Linked DNA regions of Anolis sagrei. The protein of the gene in region 2 purifies or fractionates together with the protein of the main gene of each other region. This does not show direct contact. Links are inferred from orthologs where the notes say so. Each region holds a gene or a part of one and is shown on either strand. Other genes may lie near its edges. The genes, in order: SF3B3, DHX15, SF3B6 and CHERP.

Evidence for each region.
Region 1: the proteins of DHX15 (region 2) and SF3B3 purify together in Homo sapiens (co-immunoprecipitation; 4 studies listed by BioGRID and IntAct, with this or other methods). This does not show direct contact. The link is inferred for Anolis sagrei from reciprocal best matches to the Homo sapiens genes DHX15 and SF3B3.
Region 3: the proteins of DHX15 (region 2) and SF3B6 fractionate together in Homo sapiens (co-fractionation; 3 studies listed by BioGRID and IntAct, with this or other methods). This does not show direct contact. The link is inferred for Anolis sagrei from reciprocal best matches to the Homo sapiens genes DHX15 and SF3B6.
Region 4: the proteins of DHX15 (region 2) and CHERP purify together in Homo sapiens (co-immunoprecipitation; 3 studies listed by BioGRID and IntAct, with this or other methods). This does not show direct contact. The link is inferred for Anolis sagrei from reciprocal best matches to the Homo sapiens genes DHX15 and CHERP.

The regions. Positions count from the first base shown.
Region 1 is NC_090028.1:506,778-514,102, reverse strand, and holds the start of SF3B3 (splicing factor 3B subunit 3), read right to left. Parts: upstream 3,026-7,325; 5' UTR 2,821-3,025; intron 171-2,820; 5' UTR 139-170; coding exon 69-138; intron 1-68. UniProt on the Homo sapiens protein: Component of the 17S U2 SnRNP complex of the spliceosome, a large ribonucleoprotein complex that removes introns from transcribed pre-mRNAs.
Region 2 is NC_090025.1:112,388,399-112,395,451, forward strand, and holds the start of DHX15 (ATP-dependent RNA helicase DHX15), read right to left. Parts: upstream 3,021-7,053; 5' UTR 2,911-3,020; coding exon 2,840-2,910; intron 1-2,839.
Region 3 is NC_090021.1:139,467,353-139,474,224, forward strand, and holds the start of SF3B6 (splicing factor 3B subunit 6), read right to left. Parts: upstream 3,014-6,872; 5' UTR 2,876-3,013; coding exon 2,846-2,875; intron 1-2,845. Other genes in the region: RNASEH2B (ribonuclease H2 subunit B), read left to right, coding at 4,623-4,701.
Region 4 is NC_090034.1:59,700,272-59,707,477, reverse strand, and holds the start of CHERP (calcium homeostasis endoplasmic reticulum protein), read left to right. Parts: upstream 1-4,198; 5' UTR 4,199-4,424; coding exon 4,425-4,452; intron 4,453-7,206. UniProt on the Homo sapiens protein: Involved in calcium homeostasis, growth and proliferation.

The DNA.
Region 1 (7,325 bases), on a different chromosome or scaffold from region 2:
ATATGGGTCTTACGAGGTGGCTCCTGCATTAGCTGCACATACATGCTACCAGTTAGAATGGCACTCACCTGAAAAATTGCCATGGATGGCATAGCTGATGCCTGTGGCTCGCTGCAAGGTCAGGTTGTAAAGGAACATGGTGCCGGTTCGAGGTCTTCACCTCCGTCCTCCTGCCAGCAACAGAGTCAAGCCATTAGAGACAAACGCATAGAATGGAATCGATCCACACATTGAAATGAATGCTCACCGATTCAGAAAAGGGGATCGAGATCATAGGCAAGAATGCATCATACAAGCATTTCCAAAATCAAAACACCACTTTGCAAATCCCTCAATATTTGGTTTGAGGAAGAAAGCATCTTGTCAACATGAAAACACCACACTCTGAATATATTGATCTCCTTGATATGCTAAGAAGGAATCAATTTTCTTTCTCCCTTCTCCAGCTCTGACAAGGAAGGTCCTCCTTACAATGCCTTATTATTGCCACCTGGTAGACGGCACAGGGTGACAAAGACAAGGACAGGCAGGCTGAAGGATAGCTTTCACCCTAGAGCTGTGGCTATGCTAAACTCCACAGCACTTCGTTGATGTGCAAGGGAAAGGCATTTAATCCTGTTGCACGATACACATCAGGCATGGGCCAACACCAGGCCCATTATTAATGTACAACGACAACAAAGCTATTCTAGTCTATGTATTTGTGCATATATACAGTGTTGCTTGAGTGTCACTGGAACCGCTGCCAGCCTGCATTGATGTGGCATTGGAGGCTGTGCGGTGGAGGTGGGCGTGTGTTGTCTTTGCGGTGTGTGGGGGGAAAGCATTTAATCTAGTTGCACAATGCACATCAGGCATGGACCAACACCAGGCCCATTCCTGATGCATGGTGGCAATAAAGCTATTCTATACTAGTCTATTCTCTTATTATTGCTATCTGGCAGATGGTGCAGTGCGACAAGGACAAGGACAGGCTGAAGGATAGCTTTTACTTTGGAACTGTGGCTATGCTGAACTCCATGGCTTCACATCGATGTGCCATAACAATTAGAATGTGGAGGGGTAGGTGTGTTGTTTTGCGGTATGTGCTGGGTCAACACCAGGACCATGCCTGAAGCACAATGGCAATAAAGCTGTTCTATACTATTCTCCTCTTATTATTGCTATCTGGCAGATGGCGCAGGGTGACAGAGAAAAGGACAGACAGACTGAAGGATCGCTTTGACTGACTAGAGCTGTGGCTATGCTAAACTCTGTGGCATTTCACCAATGAGGCCTTGGAGTGTGCAGTGTGTGCAAGGGGGGGGGGATTTAATCTCGCTGTACAATGCATATCAGACCCATTCCTGATGCACAATGATAATAAAAGTATTTATTCTATATATTTGTGTGTATACCCAGTATTGCTTGAGTGTTATTGAGACTGTGGCCTGCCTACCTTCTCCCTTCTCCAGCTCTGAGAAGGAAGAAATGCCTTCTTATTGCCACCTGGCAGACAGTGCAGGGTGACAAAGAAAAGGACAGACAGGCTGAAGGATAGCTTTTACTCTTAAGTTGTGGCTATGCTGAACTCCATAGCATTTCATTGATGTGGCCTGAGGGGATGTGCAAGGGAAAGGCATTTAATCTCGTTGCACAATGCGCATCAGGCGTGGACCAACACCAGGCCCATTCCAGATGCACAATAACAATAAAGCGGTTCTATTCTATTATATTCTTCTCTTATTTCTTTCTGGCAGATAGCACAGGGTGACAAAGACAAGGACAGGCAGGCTGAAGGATCGCTTTCACCCTGGAGCTGTGGCTATGATGAACTCCATGGCTTCACATTGATGTGGTTTTGGGGGTTGTGCAGTGTGTGCAAGGGGAAAGCATTTAATCTCATTGTACAATGCACATCAGGCATGGGCCAACACTATTATATTCTATGTATTTGTGTGTATACCCAGTATTGCTTGAGTGTCATTGGGACCGTGGCCTACCTACTTTCTCCCTTCTCCAGCTCTGAGAAGGAAGGCCCTCCTTACAATGCCTTATTATTGCCATCTGGCAGACGGTGCAGGGTGACAAAGACAAGGACAGGCAGGCTGAAGGCTCACTTTTACTCTAGAGTTATGGCTATGCTGAACTTCATGGCTTCACATTGATGTGCCTCCTTTCCCCCTTCTCCAGCTCTGAGAAAGAAGACCTTCCTACACTCACTCTGAGGCCTTTCCCTTTGATATGCGAAGAATCCCTGAGGCCTTTCCTTCAGGGTAGCCAGGCATGAAAGCTATTATATTCCATGCTCACACTCACTCTGAGGCCTTTCCCTTTGCTATGCGAAGTCTCTCTGCGGAGGCCTTTCCCTCACGGCGGCCAGGCGTGAAAGCTATTCTATTCTATGCTCACACTCACTCTGAGGCCTTTCCCTCAGGGCGGCCAGACGCACTTTCTCCCTTCTCCAGCACTGAGAGAAAAGCCCTTCCTAACACTCACTCTGAGGCCTTTCCCTCAGAGGGGGCCTTCCTTTCCTTATTATTTGTGCACATCTCCCGTGTGGTAGGGGCTTTCTCCCTTCTCCAGCTCTGAGAAAGAAGACCTTCCTACACTCACTCTGAGGCCTTTCCCTTTGATATGCGAGGAATCCCTGAGGTCTTTCCCTCACGGCGGCCAGGCGTGAAAGCTATTGTATTCTATGCTAACACTCACTCTGAGGCCTTTCCCTCAGAGGAGGCCTTCCTATCCCTCTGGGCGGCCAGGCTTGAGGCTCCGGCCTAGGCCCCGGCCCTCCTCCTCCTCCTCCTCCTCGGCCTCTCCGGCTCCTCCGCCCGGGCCTACCTCCAATCCCGGCCCAAGGGAGACCCCGGCTCCCGTTGTGAGTCTCCCCGGCGTGGCTGGGGCCCCGGCACGGCGAGGATGGCGAAGGATTTTCCCGGCCGCGGCCTGCTTCACCTCAGCGGCGCCATGGCGGCCTCTCTTCCCGCGCGCGCAGGCCAAAAGGGGTCCTTCCTTCTTTCCTCTCTCTCTGCCCGGGGCTGCCTTCGGCGCGCCTGAGCGAATTCCCGGAGCGACTTCCGCCCGGCCAACCGGAAGTGATGCTTTTGAGTAGGGGTCCTTCCTTCCTTGCGCTCTTCTGCGGGGCTGCCCTCGGCGCGCCTGAGACAATTTTCGACCGGCAAACCGGAAGTGATGATGGTGAGGGGCGCGGGGCCAAGATGGCGGCGCTGGGGAAGGAAGGCCGCGCGGTTGGCGGACCCGGAGTTCCTCCTGCCGCCTCTGCCTCGCTCTCCATGGAGGAAATACGCGCCCTCCCCGGCCTCACGGAGCTCGAGGCCGCCTACAGCCGCCTCTGCGCGGAAGAGGTGGGAAAGGAGGCAGGAAGGGTCCCCAGAGGGCATCCAGCCCAACCCGGAAATGAAGGAATATGGGGGAGGGTCATGGAATCACAATAATAGAGTTGGAAGGGACCCCCAAAGGCCACCTAGTCCAACCCCTTTCTGCCATGCAGGAAAAGCACCATCAAAGCACCCCTGACAGATGGCCATGCAGCCATAATAATAATAGAGTGGGAAGGGACCCCCAAAGGCCAACTAGTCCAACCATTTTCTGACATTCAGGAAAAGCACCATCAAAGCCCTCCCAACAGATAGCCCATCCAGGCTCAGAAATAATAATAATAATAATAATAGAATCCTAGTTGGAATGGACCCCAAAGGCCATCCAGTCCAACCTCATGATGCCATGCAACCATAATAATAATAATAATAATAATAATAATAGAGTTGGAAGAGACCACATGGGCCATCCAGTCCAACTCCATGATGCCATGCAGGAAAAGCACCATCAAAGCCCCCCTGATAGATGGCCGTCAAGCCTCAATAATATTCATGATGGTAATGATGATGATGATGATAAAGTTCAAAGGGACCTCAAAGGCCAACTAGCCTCAGTAATAATAATAATAGTAGTAGTAGTAGTAGAATCCTAGAGTTGGAAGGGACCCCAAGGGCCATCCAGTCCAACCCCTGCCATGCAGGAAAAGCACTATCAAAGCACCCCTGACAGATGGCCATTCAGCCATAATAATAATAATAGAGTTGGAAGGGATCCCCAAAGGCCAACTAGTCCAACCCCTTTCTGACATGCAGGAAATGCACCATCAAAGCCCCCCTGACATGATGACCATCCAGCCTCAGTAATAATGATAATAATAATAGAATCCTAGAGTTGGAAGAGACCCCAAGGGCCATCCAGTCCAAACCCATTATGCCATGCAGGAAAAGCACCATCAAAGCCTCCCTGATAGATGGCCGTCCAGCCTCAATAATATTCATGATGATGATAGAGTTCAAAGGGACCCCAAAGGCCATCTAGCCTCAGTAATAATAATAATAATAATAATAATAATAATAATAATAATAGAATCCTAGAGTTGGAAGGGACTCCAAGGGCCATCCAGTCCAAACCCATTATACCATGCAGGAAAAGCACAATCAAAGCACCCCTGACAGGTGGCCATTCAGCAATAATAATAATAATAATAGAGTTGGAAGGGACCCCAAGGGCCATCCAGTCCAACTCCATGATGCCATGCAGGAAAAGCACAATTGAAGCACCCCTGGCAGGTGGCCATGCAGGCATAATAATAATAATAATAATAATAATAATAATAATAATAATATAATAATAATAATAATACCACCCTCAATAATATTCAATAATAATATAGGGTTGGAAGGGATCGCATGGGCCATTCAGTCCAACCCTTGCCATGCAGGAAAAGCGCCATCAAAGCCCTCCCAACAGATGGCCACCCAGCCTCAGTAATAATAATAGAATCCTAGAGTTGGAAGGGACCCCAAGGGCCATCTAGTCCAAACCCATTATGCCATGCAGGAAAAGCACAATCAAAGCACTCCTGACAGATGGCCATGCAGCCATTATTATTATTATTATTATTATTATTATTATTTTGGTTACAGTGAACACCTAAAAAGCCATTCCCTTGGTATGTTTTCAGATCACAGTCGAGGAAGAGCTGGAGATGCTTCTGGAACAGCAGGGCACAATCGAGGGCAAGATGGCTTCCCTCCATCGCATGGGGTGAGTGAGATATTTTGCACATAGTTTGCAAGGGTGTTTAGGGGTGCAAGGCTCTAACATTGCCAAGGACGGAGAGAGTGGACGCCGTGAGAGCCAGAGTGGCTTCTTTCCCTCCTCTCTGTTTCCAGCCCCAACCTGCAGCTGATCGAAGGCGATGCCAAGCAGTTGGCCGGGATGATCACCTTCACCTGCAACCTGGCAGAGAACGTCAGCAGCAAAGTCCGGCAGCTGGATCTGGCCAAGGTAACCCTGTCAGGCAGGAATCGCCCCGTCATCTCCTCCGTACCCACTTGGCTGCAGGAGGCCAACTGCAGGGATGGCTCATTATTTTATTTATTTATTTATTTGCTATACTTGTATACCGCCGTTTCTCAGCCTAGCCGGCGACTCAACGCGGTTTACAACAACTTATAACAAACAACAGTATACAGTTTAAAAAGCATAAAAACATAATCCACAATACATATATCAATAAACAATCCAATACATCTCTTGACTAAAAACGTGATCCAGTTTCGTCGTCCAAATTGCCAGTCCTTCAATCATTACATTTATTGCACTGGGTTAACCGAACGCCTGCTCGAACATCCAGGTTTTTAGTCTTTTCCGGAATACCATCAATGAGGGGGCTGATCTTACCTCCATGGGGAGGGCGTTCCAGAGCCGCGGGGCCACCACAGAAAAGGCCCTGTCTCTCGTCCCCGCCAGCCGCACCTGTGAAGCAGGCGGGATAGAGAGCAGGGCCTCCCCAGAAGATCTTAGGGTCCTGGTGGGCTGATAGGCCGAGATACGTTTGGATAGATAAGTTGGGCCAGAACCGTTTAGGGCTTTAAAGGTCAACGCCAGCACTTTGAATTGAGCCCGGTAGCAGATCGGCAGCCAGTGGAGTTGGTGCAGCAGAGGAGTTGTATGCTCTCTGCGCTCCGCTCCTGTTAAAATCATGGCTGCCGAGCGTTGGACTAATTGGAGCTTCCAGGCCGTCTTCAAAGGCAACCCCACGTAGAGAGTGTTGCAGTAGTCTAAACGGGATGTAACCAGAGCGTGGACTACCGTGGCCAAGTCAGACTTCCCAAGGTACGGGCACAGCTGGCGCACGAGTTTTTTATCTTCTTCTTCTTGCAGAACCGCCTCTACCAGGCCATCCAGAGAGCGGATGACATCTTGGACCTGAAGTTCTGCATGGACGGAGTTCAGACGGCCCTGCGGGGCGAAGATTACGAGCAAGCCGCCGCTCACATCCATCGCTACCTTTCGCTGGACAAGTCGGTCATTGAGCTCAGCCGGCAGGGACGAGAAGGTATCGGATGCCATTTCTGTATGAGTCGCAAACATCCTAGGACCCTTCCACACAGCCATCGAACCCAGAATATCAAGGCAGGAAATCCCACAGTTATCTGAGTCCACACTGCCACATATTCCAATTCAAAGCAGATAACGTGGGATTTTTTTCAGCTAGGAGGAAGGGGCCCTCGCTAAGAACAACGGGGCTGAGAGAACAGGAAGTAGGAGGGAAGGAAGGGAGGGAAATCCACAGTATCAAGGGGGAAAGTGGGTTTCCAATGAAGCTCTAGCCCCAAACCTTGTTTCCACAACAGGCAGATTTCCAAAATCCAATTCTTACAAGAGTAGAAAGTGAGGTGAAATCTTCCAAACAAGGGCACAGACAGCAAAGGAAACACCACAGGGGTGTTTGCCCTTCCCTAGGCCATCCAAGATTATACACACACACACACACACGTGTGTGTGTGTATGTATGCATGACTATATGTATGTGTCTGTGTGTGTATATATAATTCTATATCTATATAAATAAAAATGTAATGTTTGTTTGTGGGATTAACACAACTCAAAAACCACTGGGCGAATTGACACCAAATTTGGACACAACACACCTAACAACCCAATGTATGTCCTTCACTCAAAAATTATGATTTTGTCATTTGGGAGTTGTAGTTGCTGGGATTTATAGTTCAGCTACAATCAAAGAGCATTCCGAACCCCACCAACGAAAGAATTGAACCAAACTTGGCACACAGAACTCCCATGACCAACAGAAAATACTAGAAGGGTTTGGGTGGGCAATGACCTTGAGTTTGGGAGTTGTAGTTCACCTACATCCAGAGAGCACTGTGGACTCAAACAATGATGGATCCGGACCAAACTTGGTAGGAATACTCAATATGTCCAAATATGAGCACAGATGGAGTTTGGGGGAAATAGATCTTGACATTTGGGAGTTG
Region 2 (7,053 bases):
ATAAATATGTGAAGGGAAGTCGTAAGGAAGAGGGAGCAAGGAATGAAAGTAGACTATCATTGATTTTACCTTGTGGCGATGCTGATAACAGATAATTCTAAATTATGGAGATTTATATTTTATATGTATTTTAATCTACGCAATTTTGTCTTATATTATGTGTTTTATATTATATGTTTTGATATTTTGTGAATGTTAAAAATAAAGGTGATGGTGATGATTATTATTATTTTTTGCTGCCCTAGAGAATAGGACGCAGAACAATGGCTTCAAATTACAGGAAAGGAGATTCCACCTGAACATTAGGAAGAACTTCCTGACTGTGAGCGCTGTTCAGCAGTGGAACTCTCTGCCTCTGAATGTGGTGGAGGCTCCTTCTTAGGAGACCTTTAAGCAGAGGCTGGATGGCCATCTGTTGGGGTGCTTTGAATGTGATTTTCCTGCTTCTTGGCAGGGGGTTGGACTGGATAGCCCATGAGGTCTCTTCCAGCTCTATGATTGTCAGATTTTATGTAACATTGATAAATGGTTTTAAAGGGTCTGCAGAAGGTTTTGCTTGCAGGAATCAGCTTTCTGAGACTCTCAGAAAGGTGTCATGGCTTGCTAAGGGGATAGAGAAGTGTGTGCCAACTCAAAGTTTCATGTAATAGTATATGGCACATTTGTCATTGGATATATGAAGCACAGACAGCATGTGTATCTGGTTCAAATGAAGCTGATTTTTCCCATGTATGAAACACAGGCCCCATCTCCAATGCTATATAATGCAGTTTGAAACTTTATTATACGGTCAATGTAAAATCATATAATGAAGTTCAATGCAGATAAACTGCATTGCAGGCCTGTGCAGATGGCCCCCAATACTTTCTATCTGATTCCTTAGCTTTCCACTTACAAATGGTCAACATGAAGCAGGAGTGAAAGATCCAGCCTATTTGTGGGACCGCATTTCCCCTATGAACCAACTCGGGCCTGAAAGTCCTGGGGGGGGGGGGGTGGCTTCTCTACACTTGATCTTAGCCAAAAGGCCGAGAAGCGATGGTCCCAACACCCTCACAAGCATGGCTGATGGGAATGAGAAAGGACCTTCTTGGTGGTGGCCCCCCAGGTTTGGAATGCTCACCCGAAAGTAATCAGACAACTAACTTTAGGAAAGAGCGAAAAACTTGAATGCGGAAGCTGGCTTTTGAAAATGGTTGGTTGCTTTTCATTCTGATGGTGGTTTTTTAGCTTTTTAGCCTATTGACTCCATGTTTTGAAACCAAGTACCATTTTTAATCTGTTATTTATTTATTGTGATACTTTAAAAAAATTCTTTTATGATTATTGGTTATATATAAGGTCTTGCAAAGATACAGAATGGGGGACGCCTGGCTTGAGAGCAGTATGGGTGAAAAAGCTATTGGAGTTCTCGTGGACAACAAGTTAAACATGAGCCAACAATGTGACGTGGCGGCAAAAAAAGCCAATGGGATTTTGACCTGCATCAATAGGAGCGTAGTGTCTAGATCTAGGGAAGGAATGCTACCCCTCTATTCCGCCTTGGTTTGACCACACTTGGAATATTGTGTCCAATTCTGGGCACCACAATTGAAGAGCGATATTGACAAGCGGGAATGTGTCCAGAGGAGGGCAACTAAAATGATCAAGGGTCTGGAGAGCAAGCCCTATGAGGAGCAACTTAAGGAGCTCAGCATGTTTAGCCAGAAGAAGAGAAGGCTGAGCGGAGATATGATACCCATGTATAAATATGTGACAGGAAGTCACAGGGAGGAGGGAGCAAACTTGTTTTCTGCTTTCCTGGAGACTAGGACGCAGAACAATGGCTTCAAACTACAAGAAAGGAGATTCCTTCTGAACATGAGGAAGAACTTCCTGACTGTGAGAGCTGTTCAGCAGAGGAACTCTCTGCCCCGGAGTGTGGTGGAGGCTCCTTCTTTGGAAGCTTTTAAACAGAGGCTAGATGGCCATCTGTCAGGGGTGCTTTGAATGCAATATTCCTGCTTTTTGGCAGGGGGTTGGACTGGATAGCCCATGAGGTCTCTTCCAGCTCTTTGATTGTCAGATTTTATGTAAAATTGATAAATGGTTTTAAAGGTGTCATGGCTTGCTAAGGGGATAGAGAAGTGTATGCCAACTCAAAGTTTCATGTAATAGTATATGGCGCATTTTGGCGCTTTTTGGCAGGGGGTTGGACTGGATGGCCCATGAGGTCTCTTCAAACTCTATGCTTGTTGTCTTTTTGGTTTCTACTTATGTATGTATTGTGACTTGATTCTGTTGTGAGCTGCCGCAAGTCCTTGAGGACGGGGGGGGGGGGTATAAATAAAGGTTATTATTATTATTATAAAGGTAGTCGCTTTTTCAGCAGCCCATTTGACGACACTTGATCCTTAGGCCCCATTTGACCATTCAATGCAGTTTCAACAACCCTGGTATGGAAGAAAATGGGTTTCGTTGACCAAATGATTACAAAGTTTGAGACCTGGGTAGTGATTAAGGGCTTCCTTTCGCGTGGTTTTGTGGGAGTTTCGTTGTCTGGCCGCCGCAGTTCAGTGTAGATCAGGCCTCAGCCTGGCTACAACAAAGAGGCCGCGAAGCCTGGCTCCAGGCCTCTCAATGCCTCGTTCTCTAAAAGGGAGGCTAAAAATAACGCGTAAGGGAGGGCCAATGGCGCTGAGCGTTCTCCAAAACCAGATGAGCAACATTCGCCTCCCACCACCCTCTCCCCTCAGTGGATTCACAAAACAACGAAGGCCAAAGAGAGAGGAGGAGGAGGGAGGGAGAGAAGCGGCGCCTCCCCTCCCGTTCTCTTCCCTCGCCCCGGCTCGGGTCTTACCCGTCGGAGGCGAGCCGCTTCTTGTTGGAGCCGTAGTCGTCCCCGAGGTCGAGGCGGTGCCGCTTGGACATGGCGGGAGCTGAGAGCCGAGGAGGCCGCCGCCGAGCCAGAGAGCGAGGAGCTAAAATGGCGGCAGGAAGGAAGCAAGCAAGCCAGCGCCGGCCGCGAGGCGAGCCTTTCCCAGCGTAGAAAGGGAATGCGGTGCAGCGCGTAAGACGTCCGGCCGGAAATTCTGTTCCCTAGCATTTCCGTTCCGCTCTGCAGAATAGTTCCTCCTCCGGTTTATTTTATTTTTTTATATCCCGCTTTGTCTCTCCATACGGAGACTCAAAGCGGCTCACAATCAAAAACATTACAACTTAAAATATGCAAGAATAAGACATTATGTCTTATTGTAAATTGTCAGTGGTAATTATATTTAATATATCAGCATTACTATATCACAATATTTTTTATATATTGTTAGATTGTATTATGGAGCTGTCTTCATAGACTTGTCAGCGGCCTATGATACTGTGAACCACCGCCTCCTCCTGAGAAAAATGTATAACCACCTCACCTGCCTCATAGGAAACCTGCTACAAAACAGGAGCTTTTTGGTTGAGTTCCAGGGCCAGAGAAGCAGATGGCGGAAACAGAAGAACGGCTGCCTCAGGGGAGCGTGCTTGCTCCATCCATGTTCAACATCTACACCAATGACCAGCCACTGCCAGAAGGGACAGAGAGTTTAATCTATGCTGATGATCGTGCCATTACTGCTCAAGCAGGGAGCTTCGAGATGGTTGAACAGAAGCTCTCCGAAGCTCTAGGTGCTCTTACTGCCTATTACAGGGAAAACCAACTGATCCCTAATCCATCTAAAACACAGACATGCGCCTTTCACCTTAAGAACGGACAAGCATCCCGAGCTCTGAGGATCACCTTGGAAGGAATCCCACTGGAGCATTGCAACACACCCAAATACCTGGGAGTCACTTTGGACCGTGCTCTGACCTACAAGAAGCACTGCCTGAACATCAAACAAAAGGTGGGCGCTAGAAACAACATCATATGAAAGCTGACTGGCACAACCTGGGGATCACAACCAGACACAGTGAAGACATCTGCCCTTGCGCTATGCTACTCTGTTGCTGAGTATGCATGCCCAGTGTGGAACACATCTCACCACACTAAAACAGTAGATGTGGCTCTTAATGAAACATGCCGCATTATCACGGGGTGTCTGCGCCCCACACCACTGGAGAAATTACACTGCTTAGCCGGTATTGCACCACCTGACATCCGCCGGGAAGTAGCAGCCAATAGTGAAAGGACCAAGGCAGAGACATCTCCTGCTCATCCCCTGTTTGGGTATCAGCCAGCACGTCAACGACTTAAATCAAGACATAGTTTTCTTAGATCTACAGAGACACTCGCTGGAACACCCCAGCAAGCGAGAGTCCAAAAGTGGCAGGCCCAAACCCAGCACCTCAATTCATGGGTGATACCAGATGAGAGACTCCCCCCTGGGCACTCAGAAGACTGGGCGACTTGGAAGGCGCTGAACAGACTGCGCTCTGGCACCACGAGATGCAGAGCCAACCTTGAGAAATGGGGCTACAAAGTGGAATCAATCAATCAATCAATGATTTATTACGGTCTTTGACCAGCACAGTACAGAATGGGGCATCGGTGCCCAAGGGAGGGAATCGCAGTTCCCAAGTAGATCAAGTATAAAAGCAGATTAAAAGCAGATTAAAAACATGTTATAAAAGAGACAAATTAAAAAGATAAAACAGACTAAACTTACAGTTTAAAGTGCATGTATGAATCTAAAATAGGGGGCGGCTAATAGCAAATATGGGAAGCTATAAAAGGGATGAGAGGGGAGCATTTACAGCATTTCAGTTATTACAAACCATTCTATCTATATTCCCGGCAGGAAGTTGCCTGGTGGAGTCGGTCATCAGCCATCTAATGTTAATTGCTGCTGCACAGAACTTGGCAACACTCTAGGTTGTTGCAGAGCAAGAGTCCGAGAGCAGCAGGGAGGTGTAATATCTTTCAGTGCGCCCTGGATGTTTTAAAAGCCATGGAGTGATGAAATTAGCTCTAATGTCTCTATAGAACACACATTGGAGGAGCACATGTTCAGTTGTTTCGATGTAGCCAGACTCACACGGGCATAGTCTCTCCTGAGCAGGGGTCTTCCGGTACCTCCCCTCCAGTACTGCCGATGGAAGGGCGTGGCATCTTGCCAAAGTGAAAGCTCTTCGGTGTTTAGGCACCTCCAGGTTAGCTAAGTAAGGCATGGGAGCGATGAGATATCTGCTATCTTCGCTAATGGTGAATGCTGGAGAGCAGGCTAAGTCTGATTGTCGCTCTGTATCCAGGATCCGTTGTCTAATAAGATCCTTGGCTTGGTCCCATCCCATACCTAGCAGTTGTCCTTGAGAGAAGCCTAGAGTTGCGATTTTGGTTGCCACTGCCTTATTCCATGTAGACTGAAATTCATCTCTCAGAGTTAATGGGGCAAGGCCACATGTTGAGAAAGACAGATGCAGCCAATAATTGAGGGTGGCTGTCCACACTCTCGCCTCCACTCTCACAAGGCCTGTCTCTAATCGCAGGGTGGCGTTTGAGACACATCTGGGGACCTGCATCGCCGATCTTAGAAATTTTGATTGTACTTGCTCCAGAGGGGCATAGTTTGTGAAGGGACCAAGTTGGGCTCCATACATCATTTGTGCTATGGATTTTGCCTCAAAGAGCTTAAGTGCAGCTGGTATGTAGTGGCCTCCTCCTGTTTTGAGGAACTTTAGGATAGCATATGAGCTCTTTTGTGCTGCCTCTGCTACGTAATCCATATGTACTTTCTTGTTTCCTGTGCGGTGATAGAATACTCCCAGGTATTTAAAGCTGGAGACCTGTTCAATATTGTGTCCATCTAGTCTCCAGGTATGATGCTTGGGTCATTTCGCAAACACCATAATTTTGGGTTTTTTTATAATTAAGATGAAGCTGTTCTTCATTACAATATTTTGTTAAGGCTCTCAGGGCTCTTCTCAGGCCTACTTGAGTTCTGGATAGTATCACTGCATCATCTGCATAAAGCAGGGTAGACACGTGTCTTCCTGCCAGTTTTGGAGGGTGGTAGTCCAAGTTGTAAAGGTGCTCCACCATGGAGTTGATGTAAAAGTTAAATAGAAGTGGAGCCAAAGTACATCCCAAAGTACAAAGTGGAATCCTCGACATGCGAGTGTGGAGAGGAGCATACCACTGACCACCTGCTGCAATGCAACCTGAGCCCTGCTACATGCACAATGGAGGACCTTCTTGCAGCAACACCGGAAGCACTCCAAGTGGCTAGATACTGGTCAAAGGACATTTAACCAACTACCAAACTCACAAGTTTTGTATTTGTCTGTTTGTTTGCTTTGTTCTGTTAGAAATGTAATATAATGGATTGTTTGCTGTGACACAACAAATAAATATTAGTATTATATTGTATCACATTATATATTGTCAATATTGTATGTATATACAATATATATTATTAGCATAGCACAATGTTAGTATTATATATTACTATATTGCACTATACCACAATACTGCAATATTATTACTAATATTACATGTAATATATAATATACAATTATTATTTAGTTAGGTAAATATTTTTTCCCCTGACATTAAGTCCAGTTGTGTCTGACTCTGGGGGTTGGTGCTCATCTCCTTTTCTGAGCCGAAGAGCCGGTGTTGTCTGTAGACGCCTCCAAGGTCATGAGGCCAGCATGACTACATGGAGTGCCATTACCTTCCTGCTGAAACTACTAGGTTGGCAGAAGCTGGGGCTAACAGCAGGAGCTCACCCTGCTTCCCAGATTCAAACCCCTGACCTTTTGGTCAGCAAGTTCAGCAGCTTAGCGTTTTAACCCACTACACCATCAGGACATTATTATATATTATTATATGATAGTATATTATTTTACCAATATATATATAATGCATTACCAGTATAATATACTATTTTATTATATAATGTATTGCACTATATCATAAGATATAGTATACATAATACTGTATATAATATTGCAACATTATTAATATTATATATAATATAATAGTATTATTACATCACAATGCTGTTATTCTATATATTATTATATTATATATATTGAGAGGCTTCCAAGTGATGCTGTGGGAGACTTGGTTTCAATTGGTTCCAACAGCAA
Region 3 (6,872 bases), on a different chromosome or scaffold from region 2:
GGGAGAGCGTTCCAGAGCCAGGGGATATGACTGCGTAAGGCCCTTTCTCTTGTCCCCACCAGCCAGCAGACCTCAGGGCCCAAGTAAGTCCATAGAGCAGTGGTTCTCAACCTGGGGTCCCCAGATGTTTTTGGCCTTCAACTCCCAGAAATCCTAACAGCTAGTAAACTGGCTGGGATTTCTGGGAGTTGTAGGCCAAAACATCTGGGGAGCCACAGGTTGAGAACCACTGCCATAGAGGGAGACGTGATCGTGCAAATAGACTGGACCCAAACCGTAAAAGGCTTTATAGGTAACAATCTGCCTGGAAACACACAGGGAGCCAGTGGAGCTGCATTAACAGAGGGATTGAGCATTATACTCAACCTGTAGGATGTAAAGCAAGCTGGCCAGTACACATAATCAAATTATGCAAGATATGTATGTTTACAAATATACGCATACATATACAAATACACACACACACACACACACATATAGATTCTCACACACATACTACTTCATCACGTTAGAGCAGGGGTCCTCAAACTAAGGCCAGGGGGCTGGATGCAGCCCTCCAAGGTCATTTACCTGGCCCTCGCACAGGGTCAACCTAAGTCTGAAACAACTTGAAAGCACACAACAACAACCCTATCTCATCAGCCAAAAAGCAGGTCCACACTTCCCATTGAAATACTAATAACTTTATATTCACCGGGATTGTGGCGCAGCTGGCTGAGTGTCAGCTGCATTAAGATCACTCTGACCGAAAGGTCATGAGTTCGAAGCCAGCCCGGGTTGGAGTGGGTTTCCAACCAATTGTGTAGCCCGTTGTCGACCTTTGCAACCCGAAAGACAGTTGCATCTGTCAAGTAGGAAAATAAGGTACCACCTTAAAGTGTGGGGAGGCTAAATTAACTAATTTATGAGGCCATAAAGACTTCAGCAAAAGCATGTGGGGAATGCGGAAGTACTTCATCAGTGTTGCAGATGGACGATGAAAGCGACAGCTCCCCTGGCGGCCAGAAAAAAGTTAAATAGCCTCTGTCTGTCTGTATATGTTGTATGTCAAAATTGGCATTGAATGTTTTCCATACTCCTGGTCAGTCGAAAGGTACTCCTGGTCAGTCGAAAGGCGGAACAGGGTACAGGGTTACAGCCTGTGTTGGATGGGGTCGCACTCCCCCTGAAGACGCAGGTTCGCAGCTTGGGTGTGATCCTGGACTCATCGCTGAGCCTGGAACCCCAGGTCTTGGCGGTGACCAGGGGAGCATTTGCACAGCTTAGGCTCGTGCGCCAGCTGCGCCCGTACCTTGAGAAGTCTGACTTGGCCACAGTAGTCCACGCTCTTGTTACATCCCGCCTAGACTACTGCAACGCTCTCTACGTGGGGTTGCCTTTGAAGACGGCTCGGAAGCTCCAGCTAGTCCAACGCTCGGCAGCCATGATACTAACAGGAGCGGAGCGCAGGGAGCACAAAACTCCTCTGCTGCACCAGCTCCACTGGCTGCCGATCTGCTACCGGGCTCAATTCAAATTGCTGGCGTTGGCCTTTAAAGCCCTAAACGGTTCGGGCCCAAGCTACCTATCTGAACGTATCTCTGCCTATGAACCCACCAGGACTCTAAGATCTTCTGGGGAGGCCCTGCTCTCGATCCCACCTGCATCACAAGCAGGGCCTTCTCTGTGGTGGCCCCTCAGCTGTGGAGCGCCCTTCCCATGGACATAAGATCAGCTCCGACGTTAATGGTGTTTCGAAAAAAGCTAAAAACATGGCTGTTTGAACAGGCATTCAGATAAACAGTGCAATGAATATGATGAATATAGGAATGGAATTATAGACAACGAATTGGATCACGATTCTAGTTAGGGGACGTTGTTGTGTTGTTATTGATGTGCCATTACTGTATATTGTGCTTTCATGGTTTTTAAATCGTTTATTGCTATTTTGTTATGACTGTTTTTGCTATGTTGTGAACCGCGTTGAGTCGCCTTCGGGCTGAGAAACTGCGGTATACAAGCAAAGTAAATAAATAAATAAATAAATAAATATATGTGTACACTGTAACCCGCCTTAGTCCCCTGCGGGGTGAGAAGGGCAGAATATAAAAGCTGTAAATAAACAAATAAATGAATAAATATTTGTTGAAATTGTTCTTCATTTTAATTATTGTATTGTTTAAAGTGTTTTTTGCACTACAAATAAGATATGTGCAGTGTGCATGGGAATTCATTCGGGTTTTTTTTCCTTCAAATTATAATCCGGCCCTCCAACTGTTTGAAAGACTGTGACCTGGCCCTCTGTTTAAAAGGTTTGAGGACCCCTGCACTAGAGAATGAATCCACTTTAAATCTAGTTCCTGCCTGCTGCAGAATTCTGGGGTTTGTAGTTTAGTGAGGCTGTTAACGGCTCTACCTTAAACTACAAATCCCAGAATTCTGCAGGAGGCAGCAACCGGATTTTAAGTGGATTCATTCTCCAGAACAGTGGTTCTCAACCTGTGGGTCGCCAGATGTTTTGGCCTACAACTCCCAGAAACCCAAGCCGGTTTACCAGCTGAGAGTCGAAGGCCAAAGCATCTGGGGACCCACAGGTTGAGGACTACTGCTCATAGGTCCATAGATATAACTACATCTATCTATATACACACACAGTGATCTCTGTGAAAAGCCTCCTTGTTTTCTGAAGCCTTTGGGAATTTTAGTTTCACACACAGAGTTATATATAAAAGCCCAAAGCTTCGGAAGACAAGGAGCTTTTCTTTATCGGGATGCCAACCCATTCCCGCCTGGTTTGCTGGGCCAGAACACCCCCGTCCCACGAAACGGCTTCTGGGGCGAGGAACAAGGGTCCCTTCAGACTCACATTGGCGCGCTTGGCCGCTTGCATCGCCATGGCGAAGGTTAATAGGGTCTCCGGCTTCTTGGGAGAAAAATAAGGAAACTTCGCAGCGAGTCCGCGGCGGATGAAGAGCTCCAAGGCCTCGCTTCGCCTTCCTCTTTGCCTTAGCCGGGAAAAGAGACACGTCACTTCCGGTCCTGGCCAAGGCTAAGTAACATCGCGTGGCTTTGATTCCCGGGCGTGTTTGGGCTCTCCGCCCCCTAGAGGCGAGGAGGAGCGCACGCAATATAAGGAGATCCTTGCATCCCACAAAAAAGGTTTTCACCTTTCACCAGCTAATAGCAGCTCAGGAGATTATTTGAAGGCCAAGTAAAGACAGTTAAATGTGTTGTCAAAGGCTTTCATGCTCGGAATCACTGGGTTGTTGTGAGTTCTCCAGGCAGTATGGACATGTTCCAGAAGCATTCTCTCCTGATGTTTTGCCTGTCTAAGATCACTAAAGATCACCAAAGACTACAGTCTTCAGAAAGAACTTGAAGACCGGGCTGTTCCGATGTGCCTTCCCAGAATAGGAAAACTCCATCAATAAGTCCCAGAAGCACTTTATTAGAATTAAGATTGCTGGCACACTGCACTTACCCTATAATCCTTACGTATCACCGGTCACATCAGCACTTTTAATTCTGTACCCATTACTCTGGCCCGGCCCAGTTTTATTGTGTGCTGGTGTATTGTTTATTGCTTGTTGTTTAATATTGCTTTAACTGTTTTTAATTTGGTTTAGGTTGTGTATTGTTATGTTGTGTTTTGAGGCCTTGGCCTTTGTAAGCCACATCGAGTCCTTCAGGAGATGCTAGCGGGGTACAAATAAAGATAATAATAATAATAATAATAATAATAATAATAATAGGCAACCCCAGAGGTTGTGATCTCTTTTGGAAACTAGGCAAGTGGGGTTTGTATATCTGTGGAATGTCCAGGGTGGGAGAAAGAACTCTTGTCTGCTAGAGGCAGGCGTGAATGTAGCAATTGGCCACCTTGATTAGCCCTAATAGCCTTGCAGCTTCAAAACCTGGCTGCTTTCTGCCTGGGGGAATCCTTTGTTGGGAGGTGATTAGTTGGCCCTGATTGTTTCCTTTCTGGAATTCCCCTGGTTTTGAGTGTTGTTCTTTATTTACTGTCCTGATTTTAGAGTTTTTATATACTGGTAGCCAGATTTTGTTCATTTCCTCCTGGAATTTGTAGTTTGGCAAGGCACCAGCACACTTTTGGTCCAGAGGAGGCGAAAGACCTGGTAAAACTACAGCTCCCATTAAAATGAATGAATGAGATTTTATTTCTACCCTGCCCTATCTCCCCCGGGCCCTTCCACACAGTCACATAACCCAGAATATCAAGGCAGAAAACCCCACAATATCTGCTTTGAACTGGGATATATAATGCCATATATCCCAGTTCAAAGCAGATAATGTGGGGTTTTATTCAACTGTGTGGAAGGGATCTCAGTGAGGACTCTGGGTGGCTTACAATATATCGAACGGCAAATGTTCAACGCCGTATAAAAATACAAAATAACACAAATCAAGAGATAAAACCTAATTCTACAGTGTAGGAGATGCACCCCAAGTCAATAGTCTCACCCACAATCTGCTTCTAAAACTGCACTGCGCATGCGTCCTGGCTCGAAACAATCCGATGTCGAAGGGGAGCACGGACGTGTTGGTCGGTCTAGAGTGGGAAAGAGTGGGAGGGCAGGCTCTCCTCTTCCTCGCTTTGAGGAAGCAGCAGCAGCAGCAGCAACATGCCGAAGCAGCGCCCCTCGCCCAAGAAGCTCCCCACGAAGAAGGGCGACTGCAGCCAGTGGGTGATGGTGGTCCCAGGTAAAGCAGCCCGCCTCTCCTCTTCGTCCTTTTTGCCTTCCAAAAAGGGCGGGAAAAGACTCCAGAGGGAATGCACTTTGACACAACTTGGGCTCCCATGGCTCAAGGCTATGGAGTAGCCAGTTTTGCTGAGGCCCCTTCCACACAGCTCAATAAAACCCCACATTATCTGCTTTTAACTGGGTTATATGGCAGTGAGGACTCAGATAACCCAGTTCAAAGCAGATACTGTGCAGTTTCTCAAGTCGCTCCTGACACGACAAAAAAAAAAGTCCAAAGGAAACTCAGGGTGGTTTACAAACGGCCCAATTTGATGCCTACAATAACAAAGAACAATTAAAACATTTAGCATAAATAACATTTGATACAATAAAATAAAACTGATAAAAGTATTATGCCACAGCGTTTCATTACTAAAATCATTACCCAGTCGCATTGTTCAGTTGTTCCGAAGATCTGAGTTTGTCTGCTACACTGCATTTGGGAAAGCTTGCGCAAAATGCCAGGTTTTGACTTTTTTTTTTTGAAATGTTAGGAGGGTGGGGGCCAATCTGATATCCCTAGGGAGGGCGTTCCATAGCCAAGGGGCCACCACTGAGAAGGCCCTGTCCCTCGTTCCTGCCAACCAAGTCTGTGAAGAAGGCAGGACCGAAAGCAGGGCCTCCCCAGAAGATCTTAGGGTCCTAGATGGTCCATAAGGAGAGATACATTCAGACAGGTAAGCTGGGCCAAAACCGTTTAGGGCTGTAGCCACCAAAACAAAGTTTCTGGAGTCGAGCAACTGCTTTCAAAGTAACTGCTGCACAATTAAATAGGAAATAACACTTTCAAACCAGGGACAGATTTTTTTTTCAAATTTTGTTACATAGTGTCATCTTTTTTGGTTGTGTAAGCTTTCAAGTTGATTTATGGCAACCGCTTAAATAGGTTTTCTTAGGCAAGTAATACCCAGATGTGGTCTTGCTAGTTTCGTCCTCCAAAATATTTACTGCCCATTTAATGCAGCTAGATTTCCCTATGAGCAGATTTTTCTTTCCCCTCTTGTATCTTCATAGTAAACATCTCCCAAAAAGCAGAAGTTGTCTCTGATTTAGGCCCCTTCCACACAGCTGAATAAAATCGCACATTATCTGCTTTGAACTGGGATATATGGCAGCATAAACTCAGATAACACAGTTTAAAGCGATTTTCTCCCTTGATATTCTGAAATAGAGGGCTGTGTGGTAGGGTCCCTTTCTTTCCAGATCTCAATTACAGATTTGTTTATTGAATTCATATCCTGTATTTTTTGCCTCCACAAATGTCACTCGGGAGGGTAATAAAACAAGGAAGTGCACAACTAGATGGAATCACAAATAAAGTGAATTAATGGATCGTTTTCAAAGGAGTAGATAAATGAGTGGCAGCCAGCTATTTCACAGGGAAAGTCTACACTGCCATGCAATCCAGATGATCAAAGCAGATAATCCACATTATCTGCTTTGAGCCGGATTATTTGAGTCTACACTGCCATATAATCTAGTTCAGAGCAGATAACCTGCATTTTATATGACAGTCCAGATGATCAAATCAGATAATCCATTATCTGCTTTGAGCAGGATTATACGAATCTACACTGCCATATAATCTAGTTCAGAGCAGATACCTGGATTTTATATGACAATCCAGATAATCAAACCAGATAATCCACATTATCTGTTCTGAGCAGGATTATATGAGTCTACACTGCCATATAATCCAGTTCAGAGCAGATAACTTGTATTTTATATTGCAGTTCAGAAGTTATGTGCCATTTTTGATTGTCAGATTTCAGAGCAGCAACTCCTTTGTGACAAAAGACAATGGCAGTCTGAGACATTCTGTATCTGAAGTAGCAGATTAGTAACTAAGAAATGAGGAAGGAGCAGGGAAATTATTTGTCAGAACTAGTCCTGGCAACAAAAGTATTTCTTTCGTTGAGTATTCTAGAAAGACTTTTCTTTGTGAAGGCAGAAATGAAACTAAAAGTCGCTTCTTGAACTCTTTGGTGTCTCAACATTTATGGAATTAATCATAAAATCAAAGCAACTTGTATTAAGTAGTGGACTTCTTGGATCTCCTAAGAGCATTTCTATTTTCCCATGGGTCACTAGGCAAGCCTAGTCTTTGTTGTTAAAATGCATTTTAAAAAC
Region 4 (7,206 bases), on a different chromosome or scaffold from region 2:
AGGAATCCAATAAAAGCGCCAGTGACGATGACGATTTGCTTTTTCTCAACTTCGACAGAGCAACATATTTTAAAATCACCTCCTTATATCTTACAAGGACTTGGTTCTTGCTCTCCTTCAAAGAGCTGGAGCTTCCCAAGAGTCTGGGATCACAGGCTACAGAAGCAACTGGAAGTCGGCTTGCTTTTTCAAAAAGGGACTTAATGGGATGCAAATGTAGGACTTAGAAAAGTTTTGAGTTTCAGTGTACAGGAATTAGGATTCTTTGCGTGTGTGTGTGTGTGTGGAAAGCTTGTAAGCTTCTAACCGGGAGGCGAAAAGCCCACACATGTTGTAATTATACGTTTTGAAATATGGGAAGATGTAAATAAAGATGAATTCTGCAAAGTGGGGATGGAGTCTGCACACTATGTTTGTTCCGGGCGGAGAGAGAAACAAGAGGAGCTGGGACTGTTATTATTATTATTATTATTATTACTACTACTACTACTACTAGCTGTACCCTGCCACGTGTTGCTGTGGCTCAGTCTGGTTAAATGGAAAAGAAAGAGCTGGTTTCTGATATATATAATTTCATAATGCTTGTGGCTATACAAGTTTTTGTTGTTTTTTTGTCTGTGAAATAAGAATAATAATGATGTAAAAAAATCACAATACTGACCTATATAATCTATATAAATAAAAATGTAATGTTAGTTCGTGCTACCATCAGAACTCAGAAACCACTGGGGGAATTGACACCATATTTGGACACAAGACACCTAACAACCCAATGTATGTCCTCCACTCATAAAAACACTGAAAAACACAGCAAAGGGGACTTAAAAAGCCCACAAAAGCTAAATGACGAAAAGATAAATGACAATTTGGGAATTGTCGTTGCTGGGATTTATAGTTTACCTACAATCAAAGAGCATTCTGAACTCCACCAATGATGGAATTGGGCCAAACTTAGCACACAGGGCTCCCATGACCAGTAGAAAATACTGGAAGGGTTTGGTGGACATTGACCTTGAGTTTGGGAATTGTAGTTCACCCACATCCAGAGAGCACTGTGGACGCAAACAATGATGGATCTGGACCAAACTTGGCACGAATACTCCATATGCCCAAATATGAACACAGATGGAGTTTGGAGGAAATAGACCTTGACATTTGGGATTTGTACTTACTGGGATTTATAGTTCACCTACAATCAAATAGCATTCTGAACGCCACCAATGATGGAATTGAACCAAAGATGGCATACAGGACTTCCATGACCAACAGAACACACTGGAAGGGTTTGGTGGGCATTGACCTTGAGTTTGGGAGTTGTAGTTCACCTACATCCAGAGAGCACTGTGGACACAAACAATGATGGATCTGGACCAAACTTGGCAGAAATCCTCAATATGCACAAATGTAAACACTGGTGGAGTTTGGGGAAAATAGACCTTGTCATTTGGGAGTTGTAGTTGCTGGGATTTATAGTTCACCTACAATCAAAGAGCATTCTGAACCCCACGAACGACAGAATCGGGGCAAACTTCCCACACAGAACCTCCATGACCATCAGAAAATACTTAAGGCCATCCAATCCAACTTCCTTCATCAGGGCAAGAAAACACAAAGTCCTCCTGACAAAGAGCCATCCAGTCATAGAAATAGATAGATATGATTCACACAGAGAGAGATATATAGTATCATAGATTTGAAAGGGACCCTTAAAGGACAATGATACGTTGAATGTTCCAGAGTGGGCAACCAGACACTCTCCACATCAACACTGACAAAGAAACAGCAAGAAATACTGTTTACCCACAGGCATAAAGAAATTATAAATATTAGAAACCAACACTTTCTCATTATTTTATTTTCCAGATCAACAGACGGCCACAGCAACGCGTGGGAGGGGACAGCTAGTAATGCATAAAAATCACAAAGTTAAAAACTTGGCATTGCACTAAATGTCTTTTGACCATAAGCTGGCCAACTGGAGTGCCTCTGGTGTTGCTGTAAGGAGGTCCTCTATTGTGCATGTGGCAGGGCTCAGGCTGCATTGTAGAAAGTGGTCGGTGGTTTGCTCTTCTCCACATTCGCATGTTGAAGACTCCACTTTGCAACCCCATTTCTTAAGATTGGCTCTGCACGTGGTGTCAAGAGTGCAGTCTGTTCAGCATCTTCCAAGTCACCCAGTCTTCTGTGTGACCGGGGGGAGTCCCTCATCCAGTCTCAGACACTGATCGAGGTTCCGGGTTTTGGCCTGCCACTTTTGGACTCTCGCTTGCTGAGGTGTTCCTGTGAGTATCTCTGTAGATCTTAGGAAACTATTTCTTGATTTAAGACATTAGCACACTGGCTGATATCCGAACAGAGGATGAGCCGAAGATGTCCATTCCTTATTTTTATTATTAACTTTATTTATACCTCTCAAAATCTCCCGAAGGACTCGATACGGCTTACAAAGGCCAAAACCATTCCTTGGTCCTGTCATTACAGGCTTCATAGAATCATAGAGTTGGAAGAGACCTCATGGGCCATCCAGTCCAACCCCTGCCAAGAAGCAGGAATATTGCATTCAAAGTATCCCTGACAGATGGCCACCCAGCCTCTGTTTAAAAGCTTCCAAAGAAGGAGCCTCCACCACACTCCGGGGCAGAGAGTTCCACTGCTGAACGGCTCTCACAGTCAGGAAGTTCTTCCTAATGTTCAGATGGAATCTCCTCTCTTGTAGTTTGAAGCCATTGTTCCGCGTCCTAGTCTCCAAGGAAGCAGAAAACAAGCTTGCTCCCTCCTCCCTGTGGCTTCCTCTCACATATTTATACATGGCTATCATATTTCCTCTCAGCCTTCTCTTCTTCAGGCTAAACATGCCCAGTTCCCTAAGCCGCTCCTCATAGGGCTTGTTCTCCAGACCCTTGATCATTTTAGTCGCCCTCCTCTGGACACATTCCAGCTTGTCAATATCTCCCTTCAATTGTGGTGCCTAGAACTGGACACAATATTCCAGGTGTGGTCTAAAGATCGGACTGCAAAGACTCATAGAATCAAAGGGTTGGAAGAGACCTGATAGGCCATCTAGTCCTGACTGTGAGAGCTGGGGAGGAAGGGGAACATGAGCCAGCAGTGTCATGCGGCAGCTAAAAAAGCCAATGGGATTTTGGCCTGCATAAATAGGAGCCTAGTGCCTAGATCCAGGGAAGTCCTGCTCCCCATGCTCTATTCTATTCTGCCTTGGTCCAACCACTTTACCTGAAATCACACTGTGTCCAATTCCAGGCAATTGAAGGGAGGTATTGACTCTTAGCTGGAATGTGTCCAGAGGAAGAGGGCGACTCAAAGGATCAAGGGTCTGGAGAACAAGCCCTATGAGGAGCAACTGAAAGAGCTGGGCATGTTTGGTCTTCAGAAAAGAAGGCTGAGAGGAGACATGAATGTGCCATGCATCCAGAGGTGAGGGGAAGTCACAGGGAGGAGGGAAGTCTTGTTTTCTGCTGCCCTGGAGACTAGGACATAATGGGGCAATGGTTTCAAACTGCAGATAGGAGATTCCACCTGAACATGAGGAAGAACTTCCTGACTGTGAGAGAGAGCCGTTCAGCAGTGGAACTCTCTGCCCCGGAGTGTGGTGGAGGCTCCTTCTTTGGAGGCTTTGAAACAGAGGTTGGATGGCCATCTGCTGTGGGGGGGCTTTGAATAAGATTTTCCTGCTTCTTGGCAGAATGGGGTTGGACTGGATGGCCCACCAGGTCTCTTCCAACTCTAGGATTCTAGTATTCTCGTTGTTACAACCCAGAGCTGTTCAGCAGTGGAACTCTCTGCACCGGAGTGTGGTGGAGGCTCCTTCTTTGGAAGCTTTGGAGGCTGGATGGTGATTTGAATGAAATATTCCTGCTTCTTGGCAGAATGGGGTTGGACTGGATGGCCCATGAGGTCTCTTCTATGATTCTCAGGAGGAGACGATGATTTACAGCAGTCCTGGGCCAATTTGGGCCCTCCTTCCCTCCCTTCAGGTCTTTTGGACTCCAACTCCCACCATTCATTACAGCCTTAGGCCCCTTCCTTTTCCCCCTCAAAGCGGAAATGGAAAAGGAAAGGACCTGAGGCTGTGAGGAATGGTGGGAGTTGCACCAGTCTCTTTCCGGAGTGGGCGTGGCTTAACAAGACGGGGCAGCCCCGCCCACTTTCTTGGCGATGGAGCAAATGCGGCCGGCGGAGATTTGGTTCCCTTTGGCGCTCACTGCGCACGCGCGCGGAGGCAGAAGGAGCGGAGGTTGGCGCGGTTCCTAAGGCGACGGCGCTGCTGCCGCAAAGTGCGGGCGCGCGGGGGAGTGTCGTGCTCAGCCCCGCCAAAGGGGCTCCCTTGACGGCTGGTGCGGCCTAGTCGCGCCTCTGAGGAGGACCTCACTCACTCGGAGTGGTCTCTTCCGACCAGCGCCACCATGGAGATGCCGCCGCCCCCGCCTGAAGGTAAGGCCCCGGCTCATTCGCACTCTGCCCATGCTCAGGGGACGGGCAAAGGGAGACTTCCCGAGAGAGAGAGAAAGAGAGAGGTCGGGGGACAGGCCTCTAAGGCCTCATGAATATCCCATCCCATTTTCAATCTTTCGAAACAGGTTTTTACTCTCAGCCGTTATTCCAATTTTTTTAAAATAATAATTAAAAATTGGCAGAAGTATTCACCAAAATATTGGCAGAAAGAAGCAGAAATCTCAATTAAAATGTTCGCAAGAATATTCATAAAAATATTCATTACAACACTCGAAATATTTTCAGAAATAACCAAAAAATAGTCAGGAATATTCTCAAAAAAAGTTTTTCAGAAATATTAATTGAAACATTTTCAGGGGAACTTCCATTCAGATGGAATGGAAGTCACTTCCCACATGTGGTGGGAATGTGAAAAAATCCAAAAGTTCCAAGAAATAATCAGGAAAGAAATGGAGGAGCTATTAGGGATCAAGATAGAATGGAATAAGGCCCAAGTTTTCACTCAGAAATTTGAAAGTAAAAAGGAATATAAGGAAAGTGAGGAAATAATAAAACATATGATAGAGGGAATTAGAGCCTCGGTGGCCCTGGGCTGGAAAGACCACAAGAAATGGGATACAAAAACCTGGTACAAATATTTAGCAGATTACCTTCTTCAAGATTATATTAGCGAAAGGAAAAGTTACTATATGACAGGTCAAAGCAAAAAGACATGGAAAGCAAAATGGAAGGGTCTCATATATAGAATAAAGGGGAAAGATAAATATACGGTGTTGAACAAAACTATTATCATGATTGAACAATTGTAATAAACACAGCTAAAGTATTTATTTGTTCCCGGGGGGGGGGGGGGATTGTGGTGGTGGCGGGATTGGGGAAAAAAATGGTATTTTGAATGTTACTTTCAAAGATGGTATGTTTCTATGTATTATACTGTACAATAATAATTTAAAAATTTTTATTAAAAAAGGAATAGAAGTCACTTTTTTTCTTTCATTTTTATTTCTAATTTGTGTGTGTGTGTGGATGTATTCTTGTAGTTTATTTTTATTTATTTTTTTAGGGTTTTATTTAGGATACCTTTTTACTTCTTACTTTATTGGCCTTTCCCTCTCTCTTTTTTTCTTTACTTTTCTATACCTTATTGTTCTCACTCTTTCGTTGTATTCTATATAAAATTTAATAAAATTTCTTTAAAAAAAACATTTTCAGGGGAATTCACAACATATTCACGAAAATGCTCAAAAGTTTCACACCTAGCTCCAGCAGACAAGAGTCCTTTGTCCCACCCTGGTCATTCCACAGATATATAAACCCATTTTTCTACTTCTAACACACCTCACTACCTCTGAGGATGCTTGCCATAGATGCAGGCGAAACGTCAGGAGAAAATGCCTCTAGAACATGGCCATATAGCCCAAAAAAATCTACAATAACCCAGTGATTCCGGCCATGAAAGCCTTCGACAATACAATGCTCAAAAGTATTTTCAGAAATAATCTAAAATGTTCACAAAATAATGTCAGAAATAACCAAATATATTAAAATATTTTCAGAAATATTACAAAGTATTCATTAAAATACACACAATTTTTACAGAAATCAAAAATATTCATTGAAATATTTGCAGAAATATTCACAAAAATTGTAATATAGTCATTAAAATATGCTCAACATATTTTCAGAAATCAAAAATATTCATTAAAATATTTGCAGAAATATTCACAAAATATTCATTAACGTACCCACAATTTTTACAGAAATCAAAAATGTTAACTGAAATATTTGCAGAAATATTCACAAAAATTGTAATATAGTCATTAAAATATGCTCAAAATATTTTCAGAAATCAAAAATATTCATTAAAATATTTGCAGAAATATTCATTAAAGTACACACAATTTTTACAGAAACTATCAAAAATATTCATTAAAATATTTGCAGAAGTATTCACAAAGTTATAACATATTCATTAAAATATTTTCGGGGATATTCACAAAATACTAAGAAATATTTGCAGAAATAATCTAAAATGTTCACAAAATAATTTCAGAAATAACCGAATATATTAAAATATTTGCAGAAATATTACAAAGTATTCATTAAAATACACACAATTTTTACAGAAATCATTAAAAATATTCATTGAAATATTTGCAGAAATATTCACAAAAATTATATCCATTAAAATATGCACAAAATACTTTCAGAAATCATTAAAAATATTCATTAAAATACACAAAAATATTCTCAGAAATGAAAATAAATGTTTATTAAAACATTTGCAGAAATATTGACAAACATACTTACAGAAATAATCATAAAAATTGTGAGAGTTCAAAACAACTGTAGGAAGGGACGAAGTTATCCCAGGCCTGATTTATCGTGTAATGTGACACTGGATTAATATGTAAGCTGCTATGTAAATGTGACACTCATGTGAAGCCCCTTTCAATATAATTTATATTTTTCCTGCAAAGCCTTCCATTGGGTCCCTTCCATCCTATATATTATTGATTTGGCATGTTATTATCTGGTTTATTTTTACTTTGCATATACTATTCATTGTATTTATTTATGTTGTAAGCTGCCCCAAGTCCTTTCGGTGAGAGGAGCCGGGTATAAATAAAGTTTATTATTATTTTTATTATTATTGAGTCTGAATTTAATAAATGTAAATAATAATATGGAATTATAAGTAAGAATGTTATATATGTGTGTGTGTATGTATAT